Arabidopsis thaliana: one gene and its partners. The protein of the gene in region 3 interacts with the protein of the main gene of each other region in a pairwise test. Each region holds a gene or a part of one and is shown on either strand. Other genes may lie near its edges.

Region 1 (4,302 bases), on a different chromosome or scaffold from region 3:
CAATCATACAAATTTTCATCTATCACAATCAGAATATTCGATAAATTAATATTTATATACTTAGAAGCTTATAGTTCATATAAAAATAATAATAATATAGATCAAATGGAAGACACGATTGGTGATCACGGGTCATGCGCATGTGGAATTTAAAAGATATTGTTCATATGCACTTACCAGTCACTAGCTTCCACTTCTAGTTTCGGTTTGCCCACATTGTATGCCATCTACTGATAATGATCTATTTTTTAGTATACCATGTAAGAACTGAATTAGAAGTTTTGCTTAGACAAATCCGAGGCAAAGTCGTTGGATCAACATATAATTATACCATTTTTTAAAGGCACACGGATCAGAGGTGTATTTAAGTTGGGTATTAGAGATCTTTAGTGATAACCTTTGAGTCTAACTTAAGTTTCGTTACTTTGCTTTCATTTCAATAGTACCAGTCCGAATGATTCTAACAACCACCTTAATATATTCATTGGTTATTTCAGGTACCTAATTCTGGTTAAGAGTAGACCAACTCGGTTTTTCAAACTAAATTCATCTACTAACATCAGTCCACAAACGATCCATGAACACATAAAAGAATGATTCGCAGCCAGAAAAAAAAGGAGGAGATTTTCTGTTAAGAAAAACAGAAAAAAAATGCGTATATATAATAAAATCATAAGAATCAGGTGTCTGTATACATATAATTCACAAACCGGAAATCTTTAGGCTTAGCCTGAACAAACGCCATTGATCGACATCCTAAAGGTGCATGTAGCAGTCGCTGAAGATTTCCGGTTCGGTATTGGACTGAGAATCTCTGACTATATAAATCTACAAGATCCTGGAAAACTGCTATAAGTATCAATCTGATTTGCTCTCGAGGCTGTAAATGTTGCCAATGGTTCCAACAATGCTAACCACTACGGCCAAGATTAGCATCAGCCATGACACTGATCTTTCCACGAAGCTTAACGAATTGCTCTGTTTCCCTAACCGCAATGCGATCAGAGCAGGGAATGTAAAACCAAGTGAAACAGCTGATGTTGCGCCTGTGAATTTGAAAGCAGTCCATATGTTTGGTATCATCGTTGAGCCAATGTAAATAAGAGCCAGCAAGACCACAGTGAGTCCCAAAGATCTCTTTTTGCTTTCGGATAGAGGAGGCGAGCCTTCAAACAGTAAGGTATTGACGGTTTCTCTCAAGGAGAAATGGATCACAGGGAAGACGAGAACTAGATGAAGAATGTAGCCGATTCTGACAATGTAATTCACCGCAGAGCTGAACCGGATACCGAGATCTTGATCAAAGTTGGTCAAGATATCTGATTCGGTGTCCTTGCCGAAGAGGAGATAACCCGATACAGCAGTTGAAGCGTAGACAACAACACAAATGGCTGTTGTGATTCTCCCAACTCGGTTCATCTTATGAGGTGATCGACCTTCAAGCTCGTTGTATATCGGCTGAACATTGAAGTGACAAACGTATGCGTTTGACATAATCGGAATGACCACAAGAAGGTCCAAAATTGCTTGTTTGGAACCAAAGTCAGGAGACAACCTTGGAGGGTCGATAGTTCCTTCGATAAGCTTGATGGTGGCGACAACAAAACAGACAACCACAAAGACAACAGCAAGAGCAACAGAAGCAGCTGATGTAACGCTCAAGGAATCAATCTTGTTCAAAGCACAGAGAGGAGCCAAGAAGATGACCATAACAATCAAAATCAACACTTTACGGTGATCCCAGAACCCATTCCCTAACCATTGATCCAAAACCCCAATGTGATGGAGAGAACCAGACATAACATCGCCCATAATAATCAAGTAAACAACGAGAACGCCACCATTGTTGACAATGATACAAATCTCAGACAAAACCCTAGCGGTTTTCCCCAAAGCGAATTGAACAACCTCGCCGTAGGATTTGGACTTGTAAAGAACAGAAAATCTAACCAGAAGCTCAACACTAATCTCAGACAAAAGAGCCATGAGGATAATCAAAACAAACCCTAGAACCAAGCCGAGAACTTTCATGGTGGCGGGCAATGCCATGATCCCGGCGCCGATAATAGAAGTGGTGAGATTGAAAACAGCACCGTAAATCCCAGATCCTTGATTGGATGATTTGCCATGAACGAGTGGGTAATCAGCGACATCGAAATCGAGATCATCAGCATCTTCACCCCCAACACCATTACGGGCATCGTCAAAATCATTGACGAAGCTTTCTTCATCAGAAGGAAGCAACTTGTTTCTGGGTTTCCCATTAACCGTCGGTTTCTGTAACTCAACGTAAGAAGTTTTGGAAATGACAGAGTAACTGCTATCCATTCGCAAGATCTGCTCTCTGATTTTATTTTTAAAAAAGAAAGAAGAAGATAAACTTTGTGATTATCCGAGATCGAAGAAGACGAAAGAAGAGACTTTTATGAATCTCGACCAAGAGAGAGAGAGAGAGAGAGAGAGAGAGATTGTTCAAATCGGATTAAGGGTCAACGTCTCAATTGGTCGTCCTTCCTGCCTCGTCGGCGAGCGATACACAGAGATTTGATAAGTTTTGGGAAACTTCTATCTTCCGATTGGTGCTTTTACTTCACATGTGGCCTCTTTATTAATTGATTAATCGTCTTTTTAAACTTCAATAAAGTACCTAATTAATTGCGGATTAGCAATTAAAAGTGTCACATTAACTTATGTTAGGCGTTTGGTCATGTTTCAGAAAGATATACATCGTACATGTACGCTTGTTTTCCAATAGATTCTGAGGAAAAGAGAGACTTTATAATAACAACCAAAGATGAAATTATTTTGGATTGAATGGATCATTCATTACTCATACTAAACAAGGAATCCCATTCTTATTAAAATGTTGCTTGCAAGTTAGAAATAACAGAAATCCAGGCACTCAAAAAGAAAACAGAAACAATTGACTTGGGAACTATGCGATATGGGTACAAGAAAAATTTGATCACCAAATGCAAACAGAATCTCCGTCTTCTCTACAGGTACTTTCTTGCAAGTGCACGTACTTTGGTGTCAAAATGTGACGACGTTATCCGAGAACCAGGAAGATACAAGGGATTCAGAAGAATCTGCATGAACAAATCATTTGGTTTCCATCAACAAAATCAGGACAGAACAAACAACTGCGAATTCATTTCATCAAGAAAATTTACCTTTATATAAAGCTCATGCACCTCTTGAAAGAAGCTCTTGATGCCGTCCTCATTCCGTGAATCATGAAGGAGCATCAGTCGGGTATGTGTTGATAAATTAAGGAAGAAACAGATATTTACAACTGCATAAGAATCTGTTATGCACAAAAGCCAATATACCAGCCTGACACTTTTTACATCAAATTTTTATTTGCACTTAAATCTCAAAGGGTCTAACGAAAAAGGATATGGCCTGCGGTAACATATACTGACACAACCAGATCGTTAAACCTGTCCACTGACTTCAAGAACCTGAAGACTTGTATGACAATGAGATGGATCCTTTAAAATGATAATATATTTTCACAAGAGACTTTACTTACATGGCACTTGTAGTCCATGCTAGGTCTTGGACAACATCTAACGCTGCATGTAATATAAATTGGTGCAACTGTGCAGCATCTTCTCTCTGCCAAATAGAGAGAATGGTGTAAGAGACTGATGTGCACTTATCGACTAGACCACATACCAATTGGTTGAAACATATATCTACCAGCTAGATGAAAAGATCAAGACAAAAACAGGAAAACTTCCGTCAGTAAGAAAGGATAAATAACTATGTGATAGACCAGAAACCAATGAGTCATGCAATAAGCAATAGAAGATCTTATAGAACTATATTATTAGAATTATCTAGTAAGAACAAGGCCTGCTTGCTTGGTTATGTAAAACAGGTTGAAACGTTCCTCGACCAAAAATAATTTAAACAATGGATATAGCAACCCTTTTCATATCACTAGCCAAATAAACAACGGTGACAATTAATAAATGAACTTTGCACCTCTCCCGTGGGTTAAATCTAGAGAGCTATACTATGACCATGAAACTAAGTCAAAAAGAAAGAGCTGGAGCCAGAACGGAGCAAAACTGCAGGAACATGTACTATAAACTTCAATGACTCAGATTCATACAAATAGAGAAAGTGGAGAAAGAAATGTACTTTAGCAGCAGATCCAACTTCAGCTTCATAGATGGGAATATCATTCCGGCCCACAATGATAAAGCAGGCAGTGTTAGCCATAGAATCCCTCGTCTCTAAATAAAGGAAATCCTAGATCTTGTGTCTCCTGAAATACCAAAATCAAACCCC
Region 2 (4,572 bases), on a different chromosome or scaffold from region 3:
CACTAATTAAGCAGTATAAACATTCTTATATTTTAGGCAAATATTCTAAAAATTGGTGGAAAAAACTTATATATAGATATGTAAAATGTTGTATCGCCACTGAGGGTTCAAGCCCGCATATTGTTGACCAAAACAATCTTTCATTTTGTAATATAAAAAATGATATACTTATAAATGATATTGTATGATCTTCAAAAACATTGGTTGTTGCCTAGTATAAATCATCAAGTTGTTAAGTGTCATACTGTGCTAAGAAACATACTGTATAGTTTATATTATAATACAGTGTGTTTATAGAATACAAAAATGTCATATTGATTGGACTAGTTGTTTGCAAGAATATTTAAGGTTTCTTATTTAATATTTAATATTTTAATATCTTCTAGGTTTATATTTTATGTACTTACATGAGAATTGTTTTAATATTTATTAATAAGTATTTTTAAAATTATTAATCATATTAATTAATTTAACTGGTATTATTAATGGTTATTTATCGCCTAAACCGTTCTAAACTACATAAATTGTTCAACTTGTTCCCTATATATAAAAGAATTGCCATACATTATTATCAAAATTTTCTTTTCTGAGGGTAGAGGGAATTACTTTCTAGTTGGATATTTGTTCTACCGAAGCAAACAGTAAACAATTGTACTCAACACACAAATCTTATTTAAGGGCAAAAAAAAAAAACATTCTATTTCAAATTAAAATAAGTGACAAAAGTTATAAAAAAAGAAGAAAAAAAACTAAAAAAGGGTGAAATACAGACGACCCAAGGTTTATTAGATTTTATCATTTTATCCATTCTTTTCTTTTATTTGGGTTTTTGCAGTTTCGCACAGTAATACTGTATTTGATGAGTTTCATTAAAAAAAAAAAATAGTAAACTAGTGGAATCCTCCCATGGTCGTTGCCTTGGGTGCGTCCGGTGGTGGTGAAGGTAAAACGGTTAACGCTAATACTCCACTAATCGCCGCTGCAATTGCTGCAACGATAAACGCCGGTAAGTTTCCACCGCCGAACAAGGCGTCGAAAGGTCCACCTCCTAGTGAGACTATCATTTGTGGTATCACAATCGCCAAATTTAAAACTCCTAATGAAAGTCCTGTAAATCAAAACATCACAAAAACAATTTAAATACCTATGTTATAATTGCATAAGGTGGATGAAACCAAAATATAATAGTTACGGTCCCACATATTTGTAACTTTAGTAACTTTAATATTAAAGATGTATATATTTACCTTGGCCTGCACCGGAGCAGCTTGAGAATATGGATGCTAGAGCAAAAGGAGTACTGAAAGTAATCTGTAAATAATAAAAAACGAATCGATTAATGTTAGTTTAAGCAAAGCAAAAAGTTTTTTAACAAGACAACACAAAAGTGTACTTACAGCTAATGGGATACCAAGAACAGCAAAGAGACTTAAAGCTCCAGCTTTAACACTAGCGCTCGGTCCGGCTAAATCACCGGCGGTTTTCCGGTGATCCTCGGCGAATTTCGTAACGAGAACCGTCATGGCCAAACCAGCGGCTAGGATGAAATTGACAATACCCCAAAGCCGTTTAGCTCCTCCTAATTTCCGACCAATCCATTCAACACCAAGTGACATGAAACCAAGAACTATAGAGTTAAACATCAATCCCATTGCACCAGATTGGACTCCAAGACTGTATAGTTTCTTCGATCGTTCATTTCCATCTGAATCTCCACCGAACACTTCACGACCCATCCAATCAGTATCGAACAAAAGAAATGGGAACCAAGCGATCCAGTTTAAGGCCGTGACGATTAGAAGCATCCACATGGGACGTTTCATGACTTTGAATGCTCCAAAGATTTCACCGAACAAAGGAACGCTTGAGGTCTTCTCGTCGTCGTCGGCATTTCGCGGCGGCGGAGACCATTGTTTGTCATTAACGTACCAAAGAGACGTGACGGTGACGATGAGGAGGAGAGTGATGGATAAGAAGAAACAAGTCTTGAGATTGGCGCAATAGATATCGCAAGCTTTTGTCATTGTGAACGGAAACATCTTGTGGAGGTTAGTGTACGAACCAGCCGCATAACCCAAAACGTTTCCAACCGCCATAAAAAAAGAGAAAAACGCGTTTGCGACTCGCGTTCTCTTAGCGTCACCGGCGGCTAAGTCGGCTAAGAAAGCACGGCAAGGTCCTTGTAAGGTGTTGTTGGCTACGTCGAGGATCCAGAACCCGAGAGCAAAGATCCCTATAGCTCGAACTTTAACCTTCTCCTCGAGTTTATCTCCCATTTTATAACCGAAATCCGCAGCGTAACCGATGAGGAAAACAGCGACGGCGACGAGTGCGGCTCCGGTGGCGATGAAAGGACGACGGCGACCAAATTTGGACCTACATCGGTCACTGTGGAAACCGACGATTGGTTGAACAATCATGCCGGAGACTGGACCACAGAGCCAAATGAGAGATGACCATTTGTGAGGGATTCCGAGGAGTTGAACGTACGGAGTAAGAAGAGAGAGCTGTAAGGCCCACCCGAACTGTACACCGGCGGCGATGGAAGCGACGGAGATGATTTTACGAAGCGGAGATGGTTGATCGAAATCTTCCGGCGACTGTGTCTCTAGAGCCGCCGCATCTTTAGTTGGTTTTTCTGTTTCATAGGCTCCCATTATCAGGAAGTAAAAAAAAAAACACGAATAGACAAAATAGAAACTTTAGAGGAAAAAAAAGAAAAGAAAATTTGTTTATTTTTCTTTTTCTTTTTTTTTTTGTTTTTTTCTGTCTTCTGTTTTTTTTTTTTAAGTGAGGTTTTTGTTTTGTGATGTAGGAGATGAGAGAATGGAGTTGTATTTATAGGCGAGGAAGAAGAAGAAATGAGAGTTTTATTTTGATTTTCTTATTACACTTGGAGATGATTATTTTTCGGATAAGAGACAGAGTTAGAAATTTTAATTGTGTGAGTGTATGGCAAGGTAGGGACACGTGTCAGTTAGAACATTAACTCTCCTGTTCTTTTGTGTTCTGTTTTTACGGGAATTTAATTGGTTTCGCTTTTTTCTTGCATCAAGTGACTTGGACGTTGATTCAATTTCTCTCTCACAGTTTTTTTTTAATAAAAAAAGTTCCGATATTCAGTACCGTTTTGTTTGGGTAAACAATAAAGTTTCTATGATTCCGATTGGGTAGACAAATTTAAACAGTGTGTATATTTATATGTACTATATCACATAAGTCACATCTGATTATCGGAGAACAATTATTTTGTTTGGTTTAAAATAAATAATTGTGAATTGTCCAAATCCCTAATTTATATGGTACTAAAAGAATGAAATATCTAGAAGATACTAAGAAATGTCTTTGATTTAAGATGGAAAAACGACTTATATGCACCCTCTATACTTAAAACTCACTAGTTCATAGCACCTAATGAGATAGATGGTTCAGGGCAACATATACACTATTCTTTTTCGGACAGTGAAGTTATATTCACGATCACCTACCATAATTAATTGGCTTATCTAGCGTAATAATAGTTGTAGATCAAATCATAACATATCCGGCTCCAATTACGGTCATGGATCAAGCATCGCCAAATATTCTCTGATCATGGATTATATTTCCGCAATATTCATAGTCTGGAGATTATCACAAAAAGATCCGAGTGGCCAAACACTTTCCAAAACTAATGCACACACATTCTTATCCGAACAGTCCCAAAGATGGTATGCTATCTTTCACGTCCATATATTTTAGAACCAAATGTTATCCTTGACGTCCAAGTCTTTCGACCCAACATCAGCTTTGTAAACATTAAATTAATTTTATCATTTTTGCATTGATCACAAACTACTGAAAAATCACTTAGTTTGTATGGTGAGTTTTTTTTTCGACGAAAAGATAGTATATTTTGGCAATGTTGTTAACTAGTGATGGACTGAAGGATATCAAATTTAATTTTTTAAAAAAAAAAACATTGTGACAACAAAATAACAAATATAGAAGCATTCAATTATATATATATATATATATAAAGGGAAAATAATCAGTATTTGTCCGCCACTAATTAGTTGTTAAATTGCCTAAAATCCAATATATATATTAAAGTTTACATATTAATTAGTTTCTGTCAAATATCCAAAATTAAGCGAATTGTGTAACGGAGTTATGTGACAGAAACTTTAACCCTAAAATTTGCTTCTTGTAATGCAAGATACGATCGCAACTCAAAACTCATTTCCCATTTATTTTGGATTGTTTATCCGACCAATTAAGCATTTTAATTTTAGTCACTACATTTTTGTCTTCGAGCTGAATAGTACTCTATATACATTTTCTCCAGTTTTCAACGGGCAGACGACTTGAAAATATATTAAAATAACCAAAGCATTTACTAGTATAACTCTTGGATTTTAGTTGTCTGTGAATTAGTCTCAAATGGCTCACATGTTTGTCAACTCCTTACGTTGTCTTTCTACTCCTCAAGTCTCAACTACTTGGACGTATGTTCCATTTGTTGTTAATTTTCACTGTAGTTTCAATTATCTCTCTATTCGCTTATTTTAACTATATGAATAGGTTGTGCAA
Region 3 (4,884 bases):
ATACTTGTACCGATCATTATAAAAAATGTTTCTTAGTTTAGGATTCCGACTCATTGCATATAAATTCTTAACACTTTGTAATCGTATAGGCAGATTGTTTTGTTTTTTTTTCTGTGATTATCTAGTTTTTCTATATAAAATTTTATAAACAAAATGATCGTTTGAAGAATTAGAGCATATTTGTCATTTGTTATTTTGACTAATCCATCTCCATTCAAATTGTCCAATTATGTTTAGTCAAATGAGTTTGAAAATTTTGCCTAATTTAATCATCCAAATGAGCAAAAGAATAAAGCCACACATTACTTACTAATAATATTAAAGCCCACATTAAAATAATTTCTCACGTAAAAAACAAATACTTACACAAACCTATATAATCTAGACTCTACTTCACTTGTTTGCCCTAAACCATCTATCATCTCTCTTTCAATTCATCTACACCTTATTTTTATATTTCTCAAATACTTTTCGAGAAAATTATATACCCTTTTTAATATACGACGAATGAAATCGCAGGAAGATAATCTTCTACTTGTTCTTCTACTCGAGGGGATAAAAAATTACGGACTTAAGAGATGGGATAAGATACTAGCATCACTTCTTCTATCCCAGCGAAGTATCGCTAAATGTAAAAAAAAATTCTAATCTTTCGTTAAACGAAAGGTAAATTATTTTCTCGAAAAAATTTGTGTATAGAATTAAAGGTTTTCTTTAGTCAATAGCTAATCAATCTTATCATTTATTTTCTACTAGTTTCTTATTTGCACAATACATTTGAGAAAATTATGTTATGTTTTCAAGAGTTTTGGGTTTTTGTAGAGTATTAGATAAAATCAATATTTTCTCTCTTGAGACTAGTTTCTTCTTTGCACCATACATTTGTGTTCTTTTTCATTTTCTCAAAGCTGTTTGTTTTACCGAATTTTCTCTTGGGTTGTGGAGAATATTTTTTTTTTTTAGTTTTTATAACACCTTATCTTATATAAAAACAAAAGAGTTTGTTTTTACAAGGGATGATGGATGATGAATCTATAGATGGTCGTAGTACCACACTCTCTATGGACTCAAGTTGTGGAGAATCTTTTTTTTTTTAGTTTTTATAACACCTTATTTGATATAGAAACAAATGATTTTGTTCTTACAAGAGATGATGGATGATGAATCTATAGATGGTCGTACCACATTCTCTATGCACCCTATGAATCAAGTTGTGGAATCAATCAAAGTTGGCCACATATAGTTATGAAATGATTTTGTGATAAAAACACAAATTAATTTCTATGTGAATCACAAAGAAAATATATATATATATATATAATTCCCATTTGAAGTTTAAGCACAGACCTTAGAAAAATATGTAAACAAAGCCGATGTCTATAGTCCAATAAAAACAAATTTCGCCGGGAAAAGGAATATAAAAAATTTGTCACATTTACCAAAAAATAATAGGAGAGTTTATATAGTTTCAACGTACAATTAATGATCTAGGTTATCGAGTTTTAATTTCCATTTCTCCTAATTTTGCTGACTTGAGCTACATATTATTGAGCATTCTTGTTCTTTCAGGGTTTATAGAGAGATTGGCTGATAATTACTGTTTGTTATCTGAGTCCCCAAACGATTTACTGATATCAACAACGTATTGATGATGTATTGTTTTAGAAACACATATATGTAAAAAAAAAATTCTTGATTAGAGTGATATCAACAACTTGAGACATGGACAGGTAACAGGTTGATCCACAATTCTATCTTTACGTCATAATAATAACAAAAAATTCGTAAAAAGATGAGTTTTGTTAATTACTTCTCTTATTATAATCAAAGTTTTGATTTTTATTTTCCAATAAGTCGCCGGGAAAAGTAAAATAAAAAGCCGTCACGTCTCCGATAAATAATAGAGTATCGTTAGATAGGTAGCTTCAACGTAAGGAATCTAAATTGGTTCAGCTCAAAAAACGAAAACGATGGGTTCCATCGAAGAAGAAGCAAGACCTCTCATCGAAGAAGGTTTAATTTTACAGGTTTGTTCAATTTCAATTAATCACTTAGGTTAGCGAATTTTGATTTTACTCAATTCCAAAATCTTGACTTTAGATTGATCTTATGCATTTTCTTTCTGGGTTTATTGAGATCTTTTCTGGGCAATCACTGTTTTATCTAATTGATGATTCCAATGTTTGAATTTTGCAAGTAGATATAGATCAAAGTTTCGAGCTTTGATACAGTTATAGTTTAGTTAGCTAATCAAAAATGTTTTGTGAATTTGTTTTAAGTAGGAAGTGAAATTGTATGCTGAAGATGGTTCAGTGGACTTTAATGGAAACCCACCATTGAAGGAGAAAACAGGAAACTGGAAAGCTTGTCCTTTTATTCTTGGTAATGAATGTTGTGAGAGGCTAGCTTACTATGGTATTGCTGGGAATTTAATCACTTACCTCACCACTAAGCTTCACCAAGGAAATGTTTCTGCTGCTACAAACGTTACCACATGGCAAGGGACTTGTTATCTCACTCCTCTCATTGGAGCTGTTCTGGCTGATGCTTACTGGGGACGTTACTGGACCATCGCTTGTTTCTCCGGGATTTATTTCATCGTAAGCATTGCTTCTCTGTGTAATGTTTGGTTTGGTTTGTTTGCTCCTGATTACTGATAGGTTTTTGTATTTGTTTAGGGGATGTCTGCGTTAACTCTTTCAGCTTCAGTTCCGGCATTGAAGCCAGCGGAATGTATTGGTGACTTTTGTCCATCTGCAACGCCAGCTCAGTATGCGATGTTCTTTGGTGGGCTTTACCTGATCGCTCTTGGAACTGGAGGTATCAAACCGTGTGTCTCATCCTTCGGTGCCGATCAGTTTGATGACACGGACTCTCGGGAACGAGTTAGAAAAGCTTCGTTCTTTAACTGGTTTTACTTCTCCATCAATATTGGAGCACTTGTGTCATCTAGTCTTCTAGTTTGGATTCAAGAGAATCGCGGGTGGGGTTTAGGGTTTGGGATACCAACAGTGTTCATGGGACTAGCCATTGCAAGTTTCTTCTTTGGCACACCTCTTTATAGGTTTCAGAAACCTGGAGGAAGCCCTATAACTCGGATTTCCCAAGTCGTGGTTGCTTCGTTCCGGAAATCGTCTGTCAAAGTCCCTGAAGACGCCACACTTCTGTATGAAACTCAAGACAAGAACTCTGCTATTGCTGGAAGTAGAAAAATCGAGCATACCGATGATTGCCAGTAAATATCCGCTTCATTGCTTTCCAGTAATGTATAGCTTTACTTGGTTTAACAAGTTATTCTGGTATGATGCAGGTATCTTGACAAAGCCGCTGTTATCTCAGAAGAAGAATCGAAATCCGGAGATTATTCCAACTCGTGGAGACTATGCACGGTTACGCAAGTCGAAGAACTCAAGATTCTGATCCGAATGTTCCCAATCTGGGCTTCTGGTATCATTTTCTCAGCTGTATACGCACAAATGTCCACAATGTTTGTTCAACAAGGCCGAGCCATGAACTGCAAAATTGGATCATTCCAGCTTCCTCCTGCAGCACTCGGGACATTCGACACAGCAAGCGTCATCATCTGGGTGCCGCTCTACGACCGGTTCATCGTTCCCTTAGCAAGAAAGTTCACAGGAGTAGACAAAGGATTCACTGAGATACAAAGAATGGGAATTGGTCTGTTTGTCTCTGTTCTCTGTATGGCAGCTGCAGCTATCGTCGAAATCATCCGTCTCCATATGGCCAACGATCTTGGATTAGTCGAGTCAGGAGCCCCAGTTCCCATATCCGTCTTGTGGCAGATTCCACAGTACTTCATTCTCGGTGCAGCCGAAGTATTCTACTTCATCGGTCAGCTCGAGTTCTTCTACGACCAATCTCCAGATGCAATGAGAAGCTTGTGCAGTGCCTTGGCTCTTTTGACCAATGCACTTGGTAACTACTTGAGCTCGTTGATCCTCACGCTCGTGACTTATTTTACAACAAGAAATGGGCAAGAAGGTTGGATTTCGGATAATCTCAATTCAGGTCATCTCGATTACTTCTTCTGGCTCTTGGCTGGTCTTAGCCTTGTGAACATGGCGGTTTACTTCTTCTCTGCTGCTAGGTATAAGCAAAAGAAAGCTTCGTCGTAGTAATGCTGTTATCTATCTACTTTCATTACATACAAAAGTTTGTTTCTTTCAACTGTAACTGTCTCTGTATCAATAACAACATTGCTGTGTACTTTTCCTTTCAATTTCAAAAGTTTAAGTCGCATTTGCAATATTATAAACAATTCAGGGTTCGAATACTAAATTGAGAGAAATTGTCCATAGGCTTAGTAAATCAAATGGGCTTTTGGCCCATATCAAACGGGCACAAATATGACCCGGAGAAGAAGAATGTTCCGGGTCAATAAAATCGAAGAAGAAGAAGAGAGTATCGTTGTGAGGTTTGGGGATCGCGAAAATGGAGGTTCCAGGTTCATCGAAGAAGATGATCGCAACGCAAGAAGAGATGTCTGCAGCTAAAATAGCACTTGGATCTAGAGATATGTGCGCTCATCTCTTGATTCCGCTCAACAAATGTCGTCAGGCTGAGTTTTACCTTCCATGGAAATGTGAAGACGAGCGTCACGTTTATGAGAAGTGTGAATACGAGCTTGTTATGGAGAGAATGCTTGCGATGAAGAAGATCCGTGAAGAAGAAGCTTTGGCTAAACAGAATAAACTACAAGGAAACGCTGCTGTTCCTCTTATCCCTAAAACTGCTAATGCTTAGGATTCGATTCCTTCTCCAATTTGCCGATTCCAGATTCCGGTTAGTCTATAGTTTTTCGATTTCTTGTGTTTTGGTTGATTTGATTGAATTGGTTTGTTTCTTCTGCTACATGATCAGATC
Region 4 (5,785 bases), on a different chromosome or scaffold from region 3:
AGAATGGATACGAACAATACCAGAACTGTGAAATTTGCAGCTCTTGCAATAGTTTTAGCCGCCTTGGTGTTGATGGAAGAACCTACGAGCATTACCGCATGTAACATCAACGCAAACCATCTGGAAAAATGTCGTCCAGCCGTAATTGGAGACAACCCGCCATCTCCAATCAAAGAGTGTTGTGAACTCCTCCAAGCCGCTAATCTGAAATGCATCTGCAGATTCAAGTCTGTTCTCCCCGTTTTAGCGGTTTACCCATCTAAAGTCCAGGCTCTTCTGAGCAAATGTGGCCTGACAACAATCCCTCCTGCTTGCCAAGGTAAAATCAAAATACCATTAAGATACTAAAAACCGGTAGACTAGTAGGATCCCAATATGAAGTATGAAGTAAAAAAGGCTTACGTTTTGCTGTTCTGTAAGTGCAGCTTTGAGGAACTGAGATGGAGACAGACCGTTCTAGCAGACTTCACTCGAACTTGTCCTGCAACTGATCTGAAGTCTTACAATATGTCTTATGTTCCGATCCAAATAAATTACAAACTCGCAGTAATAATCGCAGCTTGTGTATATAGAAGAACCTTGTTGTATACATTTAACAAAAACTTTAAGAAACTGTTTTAGCTAAACCAACTATCCTACTTTCTTGACTATAAAAAAAACTAACTCATCATGATTTCCCCGCGGAGAACCCGGATCAATTCTGCAACACAAAAAGAGAGAATTGTTCGCTTATCATGATGAATATTGTAGGCACCTCTTCCCGGATGTACTTATTAATTCCGGTTACACATTATTGATCAAGTGAGGTGCGTTTGCTGCAAAATGTATAAATTTGTGTGGTAATAATGGAGGGTATACCTAGCATTCTGGTTGGTTTTCTCGACGAGGTCCACCGAAGATAGGCCTCATGTATGTGTCGTCAAACTTTCTCCAGTAGCGGTGGATGGTGTACACAGGTTGTTCCATCAGAAGGGAAATACTATCTTTAGCTCTATTGAAGTTGGTGGAAGCAGACTCGTCAAAGGAAAGAAGAGGAAGTGTCGCATCTTCTTTCGGAGAACCTGGCTCAGTGCGTTTACCTCTATTTCCGGTGTTGTGACTTGCATCTTGAGGAAGGAGATAATTCACAAGTGGTTTTGTGAGGAAACCAAAGACCTGTTTGTTACATGACAAAGAAGTCATTCTTTTGATCTTAACACAGAAAACTACCAGAACCAGTAGGGCCATATACTAAGGTAGTATTTGTTTTACCAGTGTAGTAAAGAGAACAACGATAGTGGTGTTGGTGACCATGGCAGCATTCACAGGATCCAATGTAACACCGGAGTATGTGAACTTGGCACATGAAAGATATACCAAAATGAGATATAATGGAAATGTTACTAATTCAATGTAAAAGTAATACAATAGAGATTAGAGATAATATGAATGTGCAAAGAGAAAAACCTGCTTGAAAGCCAGAGCAATTGAGACAGCACCTCGCATTAGACCTGCCCACCAAATGATCACCTATAAAGTATACAAAGAGAGAATTATATAACAGAAACTTTCCCATTCTCGGACCATTATTAATTTTTTATTTTAGTGCTTCTGATAATGTAACTGTAACAAACAAGAGCTAAACCTGATGCTTAAATGTGATAGACTCGTTTCTTTCAGTGTGCCTGTTCATGAAATTTGTTAAGACCGAGAGTGGAAAGACAAATGCTGCTCGTCCAAGCAATACTAATGCGGTTATGACACCGGAGACACCCAGAGTACCCCCAAAGCTGCAAGAAGATGATTAATGTTACAAGTCTTCATTGGGAAGAGATTTCAGAAACAACGAGTCACCACCACAGCTTAACTAACAGTTAATTGGCGATTAACTTCGTGTCAAGAGAGAAGAAGACATAGAGGATGTCTTTGGGATAATCTTGATTCTAGGTATGCATTTAAGAAATACACGAGGTTCATATCAAAATGCTGTGTATTGTTTTGACAAAACACTCTAAACGCTCTACCAGCTGATAAATGGATACGACTTTATACCTTAAGCTGCTTGTCTTCCACTTTGTAAAATCAAGAGCATCTGTTCCAACATACAGAAATATGAATGTCTCCGCAATAAAGGACAACATTGCAAATACATGCCTGCAAAATATAGATGCACAGTCAGACAAAAGCAATTCCTGCAAATTGAGACTTCAGCGAATAAACAATTGTCTGATACATTGCCTGGAAGTGATTCTTGAGCTCTCTGTCACGTTATATGATGCATAATGCGACATTAAAACACCACAGAAGAAAACAGTAAGAATTCCACTTAATGAGAAGAGCTGCAAGAGAACAACTATATTGAGTTAAAACAGAGAAATGCAGCACTTCAATTCCAAATGAAAACTAAAAAGTAGCGTTCATGACCAGTGTATTACCTCAGCCAACATATATGAAAGGTAAGCCATTAGAACCATGATGGCGAGTTCGCGTGTAGTAGAATGTCTGTCAGCAACCATATAACAAGATCAATATAAAGGCACATCTTATCACTAAAAAAAAAAAACTTAAGCTTGAGATGAAAAATTTGCAAGTTTGGTGTACTTTTACCTTCCAAAATACAAGGTTTTAAGAACAAAAGATGTTATTAGCCCCACCTGCAAGACATTCACAGTTCTAAGATTACTCATGATATGCTTCAAACAGAGTAAAAAACTATGCCAACTCAATAGCTTACACCAATTCCGAGAAGTGTGCTTGTTGAGAAGAGGTACAAAAAGTTCCCAAATACTTGCAGCGCCGTCCAACCGGTTAGGCTTTCAAATTGAATCTTTTGCACGGCGTTGAACAGTACAACTGAGGTTGCATCATTCACCACTCCTTCTCCAAAGACTAAGCTGTATAGCAATGGTGTTTCATCTTGATGGAGAATCTGTAAAAGTTTAAGATGCAATGTAAGAAAAAACTTTTAATAGAAGAAGTAGTAAGACAAAGAATCTTCTAAATCAAGAACCTGTAGAGTGCAAACAGTATCAGTTGATGAGAAAATCGTTCCTATGGCTGAATCAAAACAAGAAAGCATTCACTCTCGCAAACTGATAAGTAATAACCATCTCAACAAGAAATGAAAAGAAACATAGATCAGTGAAAAATCTTACCAAGATAGTCTCTAGCACTCAACCCCTTAAATCCCAACTTGGGAAACAGCCACCAAGTCCCTGGTTCACATTATAAAAACAACAAAAATAGAGATGGTAACAACTCCGAGATAATCAACTTTAAATCATATAGTCAAGTCATTCAAAGATTAATGAAATATTTTTTACCAAACGAGATAATGACAGTGGAGATGAAAACTCCAATCACACCAAAGGACATGATGGTTAAAAAGTTGTGAAAAAACTTCTTTTTCTTAACTTGGAACCTGCCACAACAAACCAAAAAATCTTCAGTCAATCACCATCATAGTGTAATCTAACCCATTAACCACAACATAGTAACCAAAACCATAGTAAGCTTACCCAGCATTGAAGATTATTGGAGGAAGAAGGTAAATGAAGAAGAGTTCTTCATCAAACACCAAAATATGTGAACTTTTTCCTTTACTAATAAGTAAGATCACTGTTCCTGATGCTGCTCCCTACTTGCAACAAAACCAATCAAAAATAGTGATAAAATTGTTCTTTAAGAGCAGAAAAGCTCAAAACTTTAGCTAAAACAAAAAAAAGAAGAAATTTTGAAGAAAATTACTACTAAAATGGCGGTAATAGATTCATTAACCCATCGATTCTCTTCAAGCAAGTGGCCGATAACTAAACATAGACAGAGAATGGCGATGAACACTGAGATTGGTATCACCTGAGGATGCTCAGCTGCTAGTTTATTCGTCACAAACTCTGTTAATCCGATACTCATTTTTCACTCGATAATGTTTTCGATTTCGTCGATTTTGAAAACACCAATCGCAAACGAAGAAGGCACACAGAGAACGATAGAGAGAGAGACGAGGAAAGAGTCAGAGAGTGAGGAGAGATTTGAACTGCGATGAACAAGGCGGTGGTTACAGGTGGCGAGGAGACGAAAGACACGTGGCATGTTTCCAACGTCATCAGACTGAGTAAACGTGAGGCTTTTTGGAATTGTACTGCATCTTGGGCCTTTTTAGGGCCCAAAACTAACTCATCATGTATTTTTTTCTTACCGGATTTGGGGATTTTTTTCTTTTTTCTTTTTTGGGTCTAACTAACTCGCGTAAATTGTTGTTCTTTTTCCTTAATTTATTTTTACCTCTTGTTCTTTATTCTGTTTATATAAAATTATGAAACTTGAAAACTCAATATTTATTACAACGAATTATTTGGTGAAGACTCGAACCAATCGAAATAAAACACTCTACTGAGTAACGGTCCCGGTTGCAACAGCCAAGACGCTAGAACGTGATCGTTTCGTTTGGTCGTGTTTTGATGACGTAAAAAGTGACTCAGCGACCTATTTCACCACGTGTAATCTTTAACGACCATGTTCTAGGACCTACCTGACTTTTAATCGATCATCCACCACCGCCTTCTCAACATTTTTTAAGATACTAGTATCATTATAGCTATAATATAAATTAAGAAACTTGTAAATATTATAATTAACGTGAAAACATAGAATTCGGATATATAATGTGTATATTAGATAAATAATAAATCTGCTCATATGTGATATGTATATGCATATATCATATATGTAAATGTAGCCATTATTGGAATGCGTATTGGGTAATGGGTAGTATCACTAGAATGATACAATTTTTCTTATATACAGAGAAGAGAAGAGGAAACAAGAAAAACAAATACGTTCCCCGCAGTAGACTTTTTATTTGTTGGTACCGTAGAGGAAAACAGATATACACCAATTACTATAGGAGTGATTAAGGGAGAAATTGCAGGGATATAATTGATATCTAATAGCCGTTTCTACACTAATCCTAATTATAACAAGACCAATGATTGACACATGTATATTGCAATTGCATGCATTATATAGTTTATTATTATGCTTGCTTATAGTTTAGCTGGTTTTGGAAACAAGTAGGTAGTAATAAAGAAAAACAAAGAGAGAGTAGGTCGTAATAAATGAAGAACGCATAACTATAAAAAATAAATACACAAATATATGTAAAACAATTGTTTGGTTTCTCTAGGTTGGAGACAACCAATCAAAAAATTATATTCTAATTTAAAATAAAACTTATTTAGTTATCCCATGAAAATTAAACTCTTGTATTCTCAAAAAAAAATTGAGTCAAAATTACACTCCCAATATTTTCTGTCTGCAATAAAGATATGGAGACACATTGAAAAACATTTTAGTTTATTTATGAAAAACCAAAAAAATAAAATTTTAGTTGATGTTTTCTTTTTAAAGTGGAAAAATGTGTCAAAAACAAAAAGTCGAAGTTCTTTTGTTTTCCCTTTTAAAATAATCAACGATCATATAAATTCGAATCCCACAAACCAAAAAGCTCTCTCTCTCTCTCTCTCTCTCTCTCTCTCTGAGTAAATCTCAGTTTTTGGTCGAAGTTGGTGAAGTCGCCGCCGGGACAACTCAGGTTGTTACAGATGATAAACATGCGAGATAATCCAACAATGCATGTCTTACAAGCTTCAAAGTTTCTATTTTTAGCTCTTATTTTGATCCAGTTGCTGTCTACTCAACTCTTTGCTCAAAGATCTAAAAGTCCATGGCAAACACTCACTGGTTAGTGTCTTCTATCTCCTTCTTCTCCTATTTATTCAATACCCTTCACTGTTAATCAATAAAT

Evidence for each region.
Region 1: the proteins of PTR2 (region 3) and AT1G80510 interact in a protein complementation assay, tested with the Arabidopsis thaliana proteins (one large-scale study listed by BioGRID).
Region 2: the proteins of PTR2 (region 3) and SUC1 interact in a protein complementation assay, tested with the Arabidopsis thaliana proteins (one large-scale study listed by BioGRID).
Region 4: the proteins of PTR2 (region 3) and NHX3 interact in a protein complementation assay, tested with the Arabidopsis thaliana proteins (one large-scale study listed by BioGRID).

The regions. Positions count from the first base shown.
Region 1 is NC_003070.9:30,271,126-30,275,427, reverse strand, and holds AT1G80510 (Transmembrane amino acid transporter family protein), read right to left. Parts: upstream 2,580-4,302; 5' UTR 2,329-2,579; coding exon 859-2,328; 3' UTR 537-858; downstream 1-536. Other genes in the region: AT1G80500 (SNARE-like superfamily protein), read right to left, coding at 2,997-3,089, 3,174-3,259, 3,403-3,464, 3,536-3,621, 4,153-4,233.
Region 2 is NC_003070.9:27,052,419-27,056,990, reverse strand, and holds SUC1 (sucrose-proton symporter 1), read right to left. Parts: upstream 2,962-4,572; 5' UTR 2,658-2,961; coding exon 1,398-2,657; intron 1,312-1,397; coding exon 1,248-1,311; intron 1,109-1,247; coding exon 891-1,108; 3' UTR 527-890; downstream 1-526. UniProt on the Arabidopsis thaliana protein: Responsible for the transport of sucrose into the cell, with the concomitant uptake of protons (symport system). This transport is both voltage- and energy-dependent.
Region 3 is NC_003071.7:485,572-490,455, forward strand, and holds PTR2 (peptide transporter 2), read left to right. Parts: upstream 1-1,826; 5' UTR 1,827-1,970; coding exon 1,971-2,027; intron 2,028-2,282; coding exon 2,283-2,600; intron 2,601-2,678; coding exon 2,679-3,235; intron 3,236-3,310; coding exon 3,311-4,136; 3' UTR 4,137-4,370; downstream 4,371-4,884. Other genes in the region: AT2G02050 (NADH-ubiquinone oxidoreductase B18 subunit), read left to right, coding at 4,453-4,764. UniProt on the Arabidopsis thaliana protein: Peptide transporter. Mediates the transport of di- and tripeptides. High affinity, low capacity transporter. Can also transport histidine.
Region 4 is NC_003076.8:22,468,695-22,474,479, forward strand, and holds NHX3 (Na+/H+ (sodium hydrogen) exchanger 3), read right to left. Parts: upstream 4,013-5,785; 5' UTR 3,892-4,012; coding exon 3,727-3,891; intron 3,617-3,726; coding exon 3,498-3,616; intron 3,401-3,497; coding exon 3,303-3,400; intron 3,195-3,302; coding exon 3,135-3,194; intron 3,037-3,134; coding exon 2,990-3,036; intron 2,909-2,989; coding exon 2,714-2,908; intron 2,634-2,713; coding exon 2,587-2,633; intron 2,482-2,586; coding exon 2,415-2,481; intron 2,319-2,414; coding exon 2,218-2,318; intron 2,134-2,217; coding exon 2,032-2,133; intron 1,770-2,031; coding exon 1,625-1,769; intron 1,510-1,624; coding exon 1,447-1,509; intron 1,336-1,446; coding exon 1,252-1,335; intron 1,156-1,251; coding exon 859-1,155; intron 701-858; 3' UTR 551-700; downstream 1-550. Other genes in the region: AT5G55460 (Bifunctional inhibitor/lipid-transfer protein/seed storage 2S albumin superfamily protein), read left to right, coding at 4-319, 426-439; SVL1 (SHV3-like 1), read left to right, coding at 5,583-5,721. UniProt on the Arabidopsis thaliana protein: May act in low affinity electroneutral exchange of protons for cations such as Na(+) or K(+) across membranes. May also exchange Li(+) and Cs(+) with a lower affinity.